Linked DNA regions of Canis lupus familiaris. The protein of the gene in region 1 binds, or shares a complex with, the protein of each later gene. Links are inferred from orthologs where the notes say so. Each region holds a gene or a part of one and is shown on either strand. Other genes may lie near its edges.

Evidence for each region.
Region 2: ARVCF (region 1) and HNRNPH2 share a complex: the UniProt entries of both Homo sapiens proteins name them as parts of the ribonucleoprotein complex. The link is inferred for Canis lupus familiaris from reciprocal best matches to the Homo sapiens genes ARVCF and HNRNPH2.

What each region holds. Positions count from the first base shown.
Region 1 is NC_049247.1:29,463,714-29,470,271, forward strand, and holds the start of ARVCF (armadillo repeat protein deleted in velo-cardio-facial syndrome), read left to right. Parts: upstream 1-2,650; 5' UTR 2,651-2,792; intron 2,793-5,036; exon of another isoform or gene 5,037-5,190; 5' UTR 5,191-5,315; intron 5,316-6,558. UniProt on the Homo sapiens protein: Contributes to the regulation of alternative splicing of pre-mRNAs.
Region 2 is NC_049260.1:75,729,302-75,735,503, reverse strand, and holds the end of HNRNPH2 (heterogeneous nuclear ribonucleoprotein H2), read right to left. Parts: intron 4,932-6,202; exon of another isoform or gene 4,713-4,931; intron 3,902-4,712; 5' UTR 3,849-3,901; coding exon 2,499-3,848; 3' UTR 1,673-2,498; downstream 1-1,672. UniProt on the Homo sapiens protein: This protein is a component of the heterogeneous nuclear ribonucleoprotein (hnRNP) complexes which provide the substrate for the processing events that pre-mRNAs undergo before becoming functional, translatable mRNAs in the cytoplasm. Binds poly(RG).

The DNA.
Region 1 (6,558 bases):
GACAGGGCTGAGGAGCCAGGTCCCTCACCCTCACTCTCACCCCGGTAAAAGCAAGCAGCATGCAGCCGCCAGCCCAACCCGCACCATCACTGTGGCCGCCCCCAGGGGCGGAGCTGGAGAGCCTGCGCTGCTCTTTTCGCATGATGCGTAATGTTCTCCCAGCGGCTGCCAGCAGAGGAGGTAAACACACATGGGAACACAGTGTCGCTGTGCTGTTCGGGGGCCTTGGCTGAGAAAGCCCTGACGTCTGTAAATATTCTGAGCAGCCAGCCCACTGCAACACCCCACCCTCCTCCCAGCTCAAGATTGAGGATTCTACAATCTATGTTTTGTCATTTTGGCTAAGTGGCATTTCACCATGACAAATTTTCTACGGGGTACTCTCTTCTGAGAGCTCCATGATGTTTTGGGAGCACTAATTCAACTCCACACCAAGTGTCGCTGTCCCTCACAAATGAGGGGCAGAAGGAGCATTACATCAAGCTCTGGACACAGGGCCACCCCTCTACCTCAGCCTTTCCTGGCTTCCCCACAAGCCAGGGGCCAGCCCAGCCTCACAGTGGCCCCCGCTGCCTTTGTGCTCAATAAAGGACGATGGAGTACTCCCACCAAGATGTACCCTGAGTGTCAGTAGCCACCAAGAGATGGTGGACAGCCTTTTTTTTTTTTTACTTTTAAGTGTGCATGTATCATTTTTGCAAATCTAAAAAAGAAAGTTAAGGGGGGGAACTACACTGATAACCTGGGAAGACTGCTTCCTGGGGTGACCTGGGGTGACCTTGTTTCCGCAGAGGCCATCACCCAACCCTATGGTCTGGACCAACAAATGCCAGATTCTGCGGTGATGCCCTCACTCACTGACGTGTTGTCAAAGGATGGACCCAGTCCCTGAACATCTGGAGCAACAATGACAAGTGTGGAACCACTTCTAAAAGCCCTCCAGTCTCCCTGCCATGGGCCATTTACCTCCAGACATGCTCTGGAGGCACCTCGTTTCCCCACAGAAGTCCTCAGAAGTAACAAGCACACATCTTCTGTGGGCAGGCAGCAGAGGTGCCTACAGAGAGCTCACCCTCTGATGCAGAAGCAGGCACGGGAATGAGACCCCAAGATACCACACAGAGTTACATCCACGGTGAAATGGAATCCAAAAGCCCACAAAAAGAGGTCACAAAAGAAGCATGAGGCCATAACAACAGTTTAGGGGCTGAGGGGCCAAAACAGAATTGACAGCCCGTTTCCTTCATTCAGGAAAGGCTGCGGTCACTACATACCAGCGCAGGCAGTGGCAGCAGCCCAGTCTGAGTGGCCGGAAGCCTGTGCACATGCCAGTAACACGAAGCCGCAGGACTGAGGCTAGTGGTCAAAGGCCGGCTAAGGTGGAGGCACCAAGGCAGCCCACCCACCACACGGGAGCACTAGGATCCTGGAGACAGGGGACAGAACCGCTGCTGTGTCCTCCTGCCTCCGCCCCATCAGACAGGTCACCCCAGGATCCTGAGACAGTGGCCCAGGTGGAACAGAGGCACTGGGACCTGGCCCTGGCTCTGAGTGACCTTGGGAACACCACCTGCCCCTCAGCTGGAGTGTTCTTAGCTGTGGACAGCATCTGACCAATGAACGTTTGCCCAAAAAGGTTCCCCAGAGGTTTAACAAGCAAGTTCGAGAAAGCATTTCCAAAGTGCTACCAGCTGCAGGTATCCCTTATAGCTGCCATGGCGTCACCACTGCCTCATGGAAGAGAGCTCTGAGCCCAAACAGCAGTCAGCAGGTCGGGAACAGGACGCCAGGCCAGGCCTGGGCCCAGCATGTGATACCCCTGCTGGAGGAAAAGGCTCGGGGACTGGTCCAAGGGCAGGAGGCTCACTCTAGGGAGGCCGTGAAGCACCTGCCACGCTGGGGTCGGGGAGGGGTCCCCTGCCCAGTCCCCCTTCGATGCCCTGACCAACGGAGCCACCCCAGAAAAGGCGTGAGCCAGCACTTGCCTACTCAGACCTCGGCGGTCAGCCGGCGGCCCGGACACCGGCCCCGGGGAGGCGGCACCGTGACTCAGGGCTTCAGAACCGTCTGAGGCCGTAGCCCACCCACCCCGCAGCGACCGCGCAGCTCCCAGCCCCGCCAGGCTGCCTCCCCAGCGAGGCCCGCCCGGCCTGCCCGTGGCCCCGCTTCCCATCCTGGCGGGGTCACTGGACACGCCTTCCAGGAACCCATGGGGCTGCGTCGGGGGCCGTGTGGGGTCTCTCGTCGGATTTCCACTCCACGCCTCGGGAAAGGGAACCAGGCAGGGCGGGAGGTGCGGTCCTGCCCCTCCCCTCCCCGCCCGCGCCCCCGGACCCCGCGCCCCCGGTCCCGGGCCGGCCCTCCCGGGAGGGAGTCCGCCGGCCCGGCCGCCGACCGCACACTCACCGCCTCCGCCGCCGCCGACTTCCGGGTGCCGCGCCCGCGCGCCCCCGCCGCCGCCCAGGCCCCGCCCCCGCCCCCGCCCAGGCCCCGCCTCCGCCCCTTGAGCGCTCGCCATTGGACTGCGCCGCCAGGGGCGGGGCCGCACGCCGCGACCCCAAGCGCCGTTGGCTGCGCGCGCTGTCGCTCGGGGGCTGCAGCCCTCCCGGCGCCCCGCCCCCGGGGCTGCGCCAAGCCTCGGGCTGCGCGGGCGTCTGGGGGTCTCGTGACCCCCGCGGCTTTCCCAGCTCCCCAGCCCTGAGGACGCCTGCGCGAGGTCGCTGCCCCTTGCGGCCGCCCCAAGGGCATGGCTTCGCGGACCCGTTAGGGCGGCAGCCTGAACTCCGGGGGCGGTAGGTCACCAAACCACCTGGCGGTCTTCGCTGAGAGCGATAGGGGGATGCCCACTTCCGGACCCGCCCCTCAGACCGGGTCCTGGGCCACACCCTGTACTGGCTCCAGACCTGGCCATCCCTACCTTTTCTTTAAGGCCCCCAGTTGGGTTTTGCCTCTGCCATTCTGGCCTTTGCACCGCCTCCACCCCAGCCCCGCAATTCCTAGCGCACACAGGAAAGACCCTGGACCGGGCACTCCAGACCCACCCAGCCACTCTGGCCTTTGCACCGCCACTCCACCACCACTTCCACCACCACCCACCCTACCCCGGAATCCTGGCACACTCAGGAAAGACCCTGGACCAGGCACTCCAGACCCACTCAGCCACTCTAGCCTTTGCACCGCCACTCCACCACCACTTCCACCACCACCCACCCTACCCCGGAATCCTGGCACACTCAGGAAAGACCCTGGACCAGGCACTCCAGACCCACCCAGCCACTCTGGCCTTTGAGCTCACTTAGAGGCTGTTCTGCAGGTCCAGGCCCTAGGATGAAGAATTGGACCACCCTCAGCTGTAATGAGTGAGCAAGAGGGCAGGAAGGGGCACTGACTGGGGCCCTCCCAACAGGAGAGAGGCATTCACTGCGCTCCCTGCCTTCAAAGACCTCTAGGCTGTGTCTGGGGCCTGAATGCAGGGAGAGTGGAGAGTCAGGGGACAAGGGCCCAGGGCCTACTCCCAAGTGGGCGCTCAGCAAACTATGACAAGGATGACAGTTATGCTAAGAATAGTAACAGTGTGCTAAGCACTCTAAACCCAGGGTCCCTGTCCACAGCTATTATTCCCCCCCATTTTACATATACAAAGGCTGAAGTTCAGAGCAGCCATGTCATTTTTTAAAAAAGATGGCAAATGGCAGTGGCTGGATTAGCTCCACAGTCCTGTGTGAAGCCCTCCTGTCCTGTTCCTGACTCAGAGCACTGATGTCCTGTGGAAGACTGGGGTTTAGAGAGGGAAGGGGCCTGACTGGTGATAGAAAAAGGCAAGTATTGAATCCAAACCTGCCTGATGCACCCAAATGCCCATTCCACCCTACTCTCTTGCCATCTTTTCTGTGCTCCTCCTGGAACCCAACAGAAGCCCTTTACAGACATGGACACCGAAGACTCCAGATGTCCAAGGATTCATGGCCAGCAAGTGGTCAACCTAGCCTGATGCATGGTCCTCCCTCCCCATATGCAGCAGCAGAATCCTCCTGAGCTGGTACCAGTGATTTCCCTCTGAGCAGCCAGACTTTGCAATCCACCCAAGAGGCAATAAAGTTAGATAAGCAAGACTTGGGGCCGAGGCTGTGTGACCTCACCCTGGGGCACAAGGCAGCAGTTGCAGAGTACTCTGCCCCCAAACCACTGGGCCACACGCCTCAGGGGAGGTGCTTTCCTGTTATCAACAAAGAGAGATGAGCTCATGCATGGGTTGGACAGAGGTTCAAATCCTGGTCTGCCACGAAAGCACATAGCTCTGGGCCAGCCCCCTTCCAGCTACACTCTTCCCATCTAGATGGAGCCATGTCAGGTACTCACTCTGATCTGTCTCCACTGACTCCAGTTGACAACATTCAGTGCTAGGGAGCAGATAAGATAGGATAAGATGGGTTTGGGCGGGAAGCTGAACTCTCGGGTATTAGGGATGCAAAGAGTTCACACATCCTTAGTTGGGGAGCTCACTACCTTATAGTCACCCTTTTTGGTCTCTAAGCATTTGCCACTGTTGAGAAGTTCTTCTTGACCTCCATCTGAAACCTTTTTCCCCCTATAGCTTTGCTCACATGTCCCCAGGATGTCCCCACAGAGCTAGGTGGAGGTGGGGGGAGAGGGAGGAGCCTAGGGTACTGGTCCCTGTGCCAGTGGTCACATGGTAGGGACTCTCCATCCTGTTTTTTGACTGTTTCTGACCCCTGCCTGCAGCCTGGGTTATGGTAGGCCTGCTGCCTGAGAATGGCCTTGAGTTCCTTGGAACCCACACTGTCCATCCTACTCCTCTGTATATAGCTGGTGACCCAGCTTGGGGGACGGAATCCTGCCTGGAGCGGGAGGCGGGGAGGCAGCCCCCACCTAGGACAATTTTGGAGCATGATTCTCCCTTTTGCTCTCTCACCAGAGCTCTGTCCAGCCCCTCCTGCCACCATCAGCAAGTGTGTGGGGAAGGGTTGATGCTGAATCACAAGCTCACTATGAGAATAGCGCTCCAGGAGGACCAGGGCCCAATGCCCCTGGAGAAATCCGTAGGGACAGTTTGACTAATGGAAGGAAGAAAATCCCTCCAGCCCACACAGCAGCTGGCTCAGAATGTCACCAATGGTGCAGCTCCATAAGACAAGAGCTAACTTGCTCACAGAGACTCCTGTGTTCCAGGGAAGGACACCTGCACTCCATCTTCCCAGAGATACAAGCAACATCGCTATGCCAGAGTGTCAGATGGCTCTCACCTCCAGTGCCCAACTTCAATTGACCAGCAGTGGCTGACTGGTTCTAAAAGGGTAGGATGGATTTGCTACGTGTGCTAGGTACCACAGGGGGAACCCAATGGTGGTACCAGTGGTGAGTTCTGGCCCTACATCACTTCACTTTCTTTGTTAAGAGGAAGCAACTTATGGGTGAACACTCTGGCTCCCTGATGTGGGTGGATAAGACATGAATGTCTGGTCTCCCCATTAATGCTGTCATGGGTCTGTGACTCCCTGGGTAGACATGGGGAATATGATGGGCTGAGAATCTGGTCATCTCCAGGTGCAACCAGGACAGGAAAGGCTTAGAACTAAGCCAGAGTCCCTGGCCAAGGGGCCATCATCTCATGAACCCCCTGAAATAAGCTCCAACATGCAGCACCCCTATTGGTACCCCACCACACACACCACAAAGTTAAGTGGAGCTGGCCAAGGATTATGGTTCCATTTGTGGTCATATATGTGTGCTTCGTTTCCCTCCAAGGACCAGGTGTCGGCTCTCCACCTGGCAGAGAAATGCGACTTGTGCTAAATTCCATTCAGGTGGTTGCGCCCCCTACAGTGTTTCTCCAAGACCAGAGGTAGGGTGGAGGAAACGGGACACCAGGAAGGAGGCTGGTGACAAACACACAAACTCCTCCCTCCACCCCTCCCGGACCCTGAGCTGCGGTGATTTGATAGAGGAGGGGAGGGCAGCCCTGCAGGGTGGGCCGAGCCGAGGGGTCCGTGGATTCAGGCCGGTGGAGGAGGACAACCTCTGGTTCGCCGAAAGGACCTTCCTGCCCCGAGAAACACGGCTCCCCATCCAGGCTCGCGGAGCCCAGGTCGGGCCGCGCCCCTGCTGCGAGAACCCCCCAGGCCCGGGGGTGACGGGCTAGGCTTGCACCCGAGTGACCTAAAGCAAGTGAGAACCTTTCTGAGCTTCGATTTCCCATCTGTAGAATGGGAAGGTAGCACAACTCTCCCTCGCAGAGTGTGCGAAGAACACAATTAGATCCGGACAGGAGGGCGCGGCGCGCCCGGTGAACAGCAGGCGCGGGAGAAGGATCCCTGCGAACTAGGGGCGGTGATGGAGGCAGCGAGGCCAGAGTCCTGGGAAGGGGCGCGGGGCTCGCCAATCCCCGCTCGGTGCCGGGGGGCCCGGGCAGGTCCTCGAACGCCGCCGAGAGGGGGGCGGCCCCGAGCCCGGCCGCCGCCGCAGCGGTCCCGGCAGGTGCCGGGGCCTCGGCCACTCCACGGAGGGGCCGGCGGTCGGCCGGGACGGACACCCCGGGGG
Region 2 (6,202 bases), on another chromosome or scaffold:
ATAAAGACTTGTAGAAGTTCAGGTGCAGCTGGTAGTAACCTGAGGGTATCCAGGCCTGAATGTCTTTAAGAGGTGCAATTGTCAATAGCAACTACATATGCAGAAATGTAAGATAACCCCCCCCATGTCAAAGGCATTTAAAGTCATCATGGGAGGTGCAAGATATTGTAAATAATCATATGCAATCTGTACTTTAATAGAAAGTTTAAATTACTTGTTACAGGAATGAATGTAGGGGAGGCAATCAGGAATCATGAAGAAGTCGTTCTTAGAGCTGCTCTTCTGGGCCTTTAGCCATTAGAGAGTGCCGCACAGGGTCACAAAATGTGGTCATGAGACCAGGAGCATCAGCAGATTTTTTTAAAGACTTTATTTATTTATTCATAAGACAGACACACACACACACACACATACACACACACACACACAGAGTAGAGACACAGGCAGAGGGAGAAGCAGGATCCCTGTGGGGAGCCCGACACAGGACTCTATCCCAGGACCCTGGAATCATGCCCTAAGCTGAAGGCAGATGCTCAACCACTGAGCCACCCAGGTGCCCCAGATTCTTAAACACAAACCCAGAATCACCAGATTTCAGAAACTCTAGGAGTGAGGCCCAGTAACCACTGTTTTTAGAAGCCCCACAGATGATTCTGGTGCACACTAAGGTATGCGAACCAATGGTTAAGAACAAGCTTTAAATGCCCTGAAAAACCTCATAGTGTTTAGAGACTATTAATAAATTCATGGAGGAGACTGAATTACTTATATAATAACATAGGCTTCTTTTTTAGAACATATAAAGGTGCCTTAGATCTTCCATATATGATTCAATGAAAGGAAGGGGATTTGTTTTTACTTTCTGGCTTTTGGAGAATGCTGTCTTGATAAAGTATAGTTTCCAGAGAAGCCCAATAGTCCTGTGGACATGGAGAGTTTAGAAACAGAATAATACTCTACCTCATTAAACAAATTAAAATAGCAACGGGATACCATTTTTCAACTAATAAATTAGCCAAGATCAAGAATAATATGCATCATGGTGGAGGGGGGCAGTGCAAAGAGTACCATAATGTGACAATGCAAATCAAAAGCCTTAAAAATGTGGGTACACTTGACTCAACAATCCCACTTTTAGGCATAGATCTTAAAAATAATGATACAGTGAACAATTTATGTATGATGGTACTAATGTGTGTTTATAAAAATTAAATTTAAATTTCAGTGGCAGGGGCACTGGGTGGCTCAGTGGGTTAAGTATCTGCTTTTGGCTCAGGTCATGACCTCAAGGTCCTGGGATCAAGCCCCATGTCCGGGACCCTCCTCAGTGTGGAGTCTTGCTTCTCCCTCTCCCTTTGCCTGCCATTCCACCCTGCTTGTTCTATCAAATAAATAAATAAAAATCTTAAAAAAATAAGTTTCAAGTGCAGAGGACTTGTATCAAAGAAATGGTTCATATGATGGAACATTTTTAAAAAATTAAGCTGTTGGGGCGCCTGGGTAGCTCAGTTAAATGTCTGCCTTCAGCTTAGGTCATGATCTCAGTGGCCCGGGATTGAGCCCTGCATCCAGCTCTCGGCTCAGCGGCAAATCTGCTTTTCCTTCTTTGATCTCTCTGCCTCTCTCTCTCTCAAATAAATAAAATTTTTAAAAGAAATCAAGCTGCACAAGATTTTTCATTTTTAAAAGGAAGATTTATTTAACAAGTTTCACTTAGTACAATACATCTAATGGAAATCACAATACAAGGAAAGGTTTAAATCAAAGTCTCAGAATCTCATACAAACAACATGACCAAACTCCTAAAGTATTGGTATTACATCTCAAAATTGTCCCAGATCTTTAAAAAAGTAAAAGTGTACACTCACGTGCCTTACAGGATATTAAACCAAAAAGCTAGAATTAACAAACATGCCAAATGTTTTCACTTTGAATCGTAGACACAGCTCCTATATTTGAGTTTTACAGAAAAGCATGTTTCTCAACATGCATCCAAAGTTTTCAAGGTATTGTGGTATAAGAGCAACATTTAACATAAGTGAAACTGCTTTAACCTAAATAATGCTTACTGCTTAGGTATACTCCTACAATGTAACTAACTTGAGGAAAGCTGAAAATTGTTTTAACAGTTATGGTCAATACTGAACGTTGTTATTACACCCTAGATGAATGTTTCAGTGTTCAAAATTACTGAGCTTAAAGTTGTAAAACCTTGACTTCCACTTTACAGTAAGCATGAATCACAAGCCTGTAATGCAAAACTGTTAAACTTAACTTTTGTTTTCTTAAAAAAAAAAAGGAAAGAATGAAAGAACGAAAGAACGAAAGAACGAAAGAAAGAAAGAAAGAAAGAAAGAAAGAGGAAGCTGACCAAGAGTGATCAGAATCAGTATTTCCCATTTACCAATCATACTGGATATACTAGACATCCCTCCCATTCTACAACTCCCATAAATGCAGAGATTTTATTTTTGTAATAGCTGTTTAGTATTGTTTACTTAAGCGAGGTTTGACTGATAGTCACTGGAGTTTTCCTGCAGCACTTGGTCATATCCACTCATACTGCTCTGACCACCGTACCCACCTCCATAACCCCCGCTTAGCTGCTGGCTGGCAGGGCCCCCATAACTAGATTGGTTGGATAAGCCCATTCCTCCCATCATTTGACTACCATATGCACCACCACTTGCCCCTGCTGTAGAATTCAAAAAGAGTTCTACATAGCTGTGATCATAAGCACCCCCACTTGTTCCTGCAGTAGAATTCAAGAAGAGCTCCACGTATCTGTGTTGCATATTAGCTTTGTCTTTTGCCATAGCTGCCACAGCATCTTCATGGGTAGCAAATTCAACATCTGCCTCACCAGTAACTCGGCCATCGGGTCCAATTTCAATGTGCACTCTCATGGGGTTAAGAGGTGAGAAAAAATTGTAAATATCATTCTCAGTGGCTCTGTAAGGTAATCCCCTCATGTGTACACAGTGCCCTGTGGTGCTCTGGAAACTGGACCCACCATCTCCATATCTATGGTCAGACATCCCTGAAAAACAGTAATTGAGGTCTCTTCCAAATCTATCAGACCCAAAGCCATAGCCATCATTATAGCCACCATAGTCATCATAGCCTCCATACCCTCCACCATAGGCACCACGCCTCATCCTTTCAAACCCAGTCCCTCTGCCAATACTATTATACCCTCTGCCAGCCCCTGGCCTATCATAAGGACCTGGCCGCTGCATAGCCATGAGCTTTCGCGGGGGGTCGTAGTGGGTTCGGACTTCAGCTCGGCTACTCTTGAAGATTTCAATGTACCTATGCCCTATTCTTTCCTTGTGTTTCTTTAAGGCCTTTTCAGCTATCTCCTGCGAAGCAAACTGCACAAAGGCCTCCCCCGTGCTCCGCCCCTGAAAGTCCACCGGCAGTGTCATCCCATTTGGCACAATTTCCAACCCTGAAAAGAACTGAACAATCTCTTCCTTGCTACAGCCAAATGGGAGTCCTCTAAGCCGGACGAAGCCATCGTTGGCAGTATCAGGACTATTCGGACCTGTATGCTTCAACACCCAATCCATTTCAACACTGTTGGACTTGAACACTTCAACGTATCTGTGTCCCATGGTTTCTCTGTCCTTCTTCAATGCCAATTTCACTTCATCTTCGGATTCAAGTTCGACAAACGCTTCACCACTTGGTCTGCCTTCTCTGGTATAGATGAAACGAATACCTGATGTGCCGTTTTGGATCTTGCAATCAGAGAAGAAGCGCATCACTTCATCAGCTGAGCAGGACCAGGGTAGGCCCCTGACCTTCACCACGAACCCCTCCCTGCCTTCCGTGCTCAGCATCATGATGATTGTTGGGCTCTTGGTGGCAAGCTTGGCTCAATGCAGTTTCAGTGTAGCTAAAAAAAAAATTAGAAGACTATTGTCATGGAAAAATGTTCACAACATAGTAAGAGAAAAAAGCAAACCAATAATATAAAACTCAAACGGATAGCTTTGTTCTAAAATATTCATATAAATAAAAAGACTGCACCAAATTTTTAATTCATTCATCCAAAGATTATTTACTCAATACCTATTATGTGTTGAATACCGTTAATAGTGGTTATTTCTGGGCAGTAGGCTTATGGGAACTTTTTTATTAAAGGAGTATTTTCTTTGGACATTTCTATGTTTTAGGTTTTCTATATTGAACATATATTAACATCATAGAACACAAAAGGCATAAAAAATCAGCAGCAAAATCACTGGAAGCTGTGAACAAATACGAGATAGCTATACCTGATTACATAAAAATGAAAAACTTCATTACATCAAAGGTAAGATTAAACAGAATTAAAAGACAATACACTTGAGAAGACACAACAGTACATTAATATCCTTATATAATGAACTCATGCCAATTAATAAAATCAAGGAAATATTAAGGCCTAAGCAATAAATGGGAAAAAGACATTAAGGGTGATCATACATTCATTTTATATTTTTCAACTGGCAAGTCCAGTACTTGGCTTTGGGATACAAGGATCAATAAACCAAGAAAGGGTTTATAGTCCTACAGGGGCATTATACATCTTTACTAAAGGCAAAAGGGCAAATAAACATTATTCCTGCTATGACAAAATTCTGTATAGCGTGAAAAGGTGGTATAAAACAGGGACTAGTTGGTCAATTCTAACAGTTGGCACAGAATTGTTTAAACAGACTCACCAGTTCAAGGATCCACAAATAAATTTTTAAAAATTACAATGGAGCATAAAATAGGATGAGCCCAGGCAAGAAGTTAAGGCTGGCAAGGTAGAGAGTAAGATCCCAAAGGCCTTACTTGATAGACAAACGTTAAGAGTCTTCTAAGGGTTTTAAAACAGAGGAGTGGGGTAGGGGAGTGAGGGTAAGGGAATGGGTAAGGGAGTGGGTAAGGGAGTGAGGGGAGGAAAGTGAGGTAACCAGAGCCTTTTCAAATAATAGATCACCCTGGCAACAGTGTGGAACTCAAACAGAGGGGGCTGGTGTGACACAAGCAGGATCAGTTATAACCCCAACCTCTTTTTGGCAATAAGGATTTCACCTAAGGCAACAGTTTTAAAAAAGAAAGGATAGCCCCTGGGTGGCTCAGTTGGTTAAGCAGCTGCCTTCGGCTCAGGTCCTGATCTCAGGGTCCCGGGGATTGAGTCAAGACATCCTGGAGCTCACTGCTTAGTGGGAAGTCTACTTCTCCCTCTCTCTCTGTTCCCCCTCCCCCCCACTTGTGTGTGGGCTCTCTTTCAAATAAATATTTTTAAAAATAAATAAATAAAAAAGAAAGGAAGGATGTAATCTACACATTGAAAGCAGTGGACTCTGCAGGACGTGATAACAGATTAAATACAGGAGGAATGCAGATGTGAGGATATAGGAGAGTTGTCTGAGAAATGTTCAAACTTCATCAATTATCAGAAATCGAAATTAAAACCAGAATTAATCAACATTTTTCACCTACCAAGACAGTGAAAATTAAACAGTAAGGATAAGCCAATGCTAATATTCAGGGTTCACAACCACTCCTAGAGGAGTGAAAGTAGATACAGTACTTCTGGAAAGCAATCTGGAAACATGTATCATGCCTTCTGATATAGTAAATCCATTTCAGATTATGTGCCCTAAAGAGATGATCTGAAATTCAGACAAAGATTTATGAAGCTATATATTCTTCAAAAGGTATTTTATTAAAGAGTATTACACAATTTTAAAATTACATAAATATTTAACAACATGAAGAACTACATATGCTATAATCTCATGAACCAGGATCACAGATGCTTTATAATCTCAACTATGTAAAAAAATATATATGTTTACATATTGTTTGACCCTGCTAAAATTCCTTCCGGAAACTGGTCAACAGAAATACTCACAAATGTTCACTGCTATTGCACTGTTACTAATGGCAGAAAATTAGAAACCTAACAATTCATCAATAGGTGAAAGGCTGAATAAATTACAGTATACTTTATCCTTAAAATGGAATCCTCCAGGCCTGAGTGGCTCAGTCAGTTAAGCATCTGCCTTTAGCTCAGGTCATGATCCCAGGGTCCTGGGGTTGAGTCGTGACATCAGGCTCCTTGGGAGGAGTCTGCTTCTTCCTCTCCTTCTCCCTCTACCTCTTCCCCCTGCTCGTGCTCTTTCTCTCACTCTCTAATACATAAAATCTTAAAAAAAGA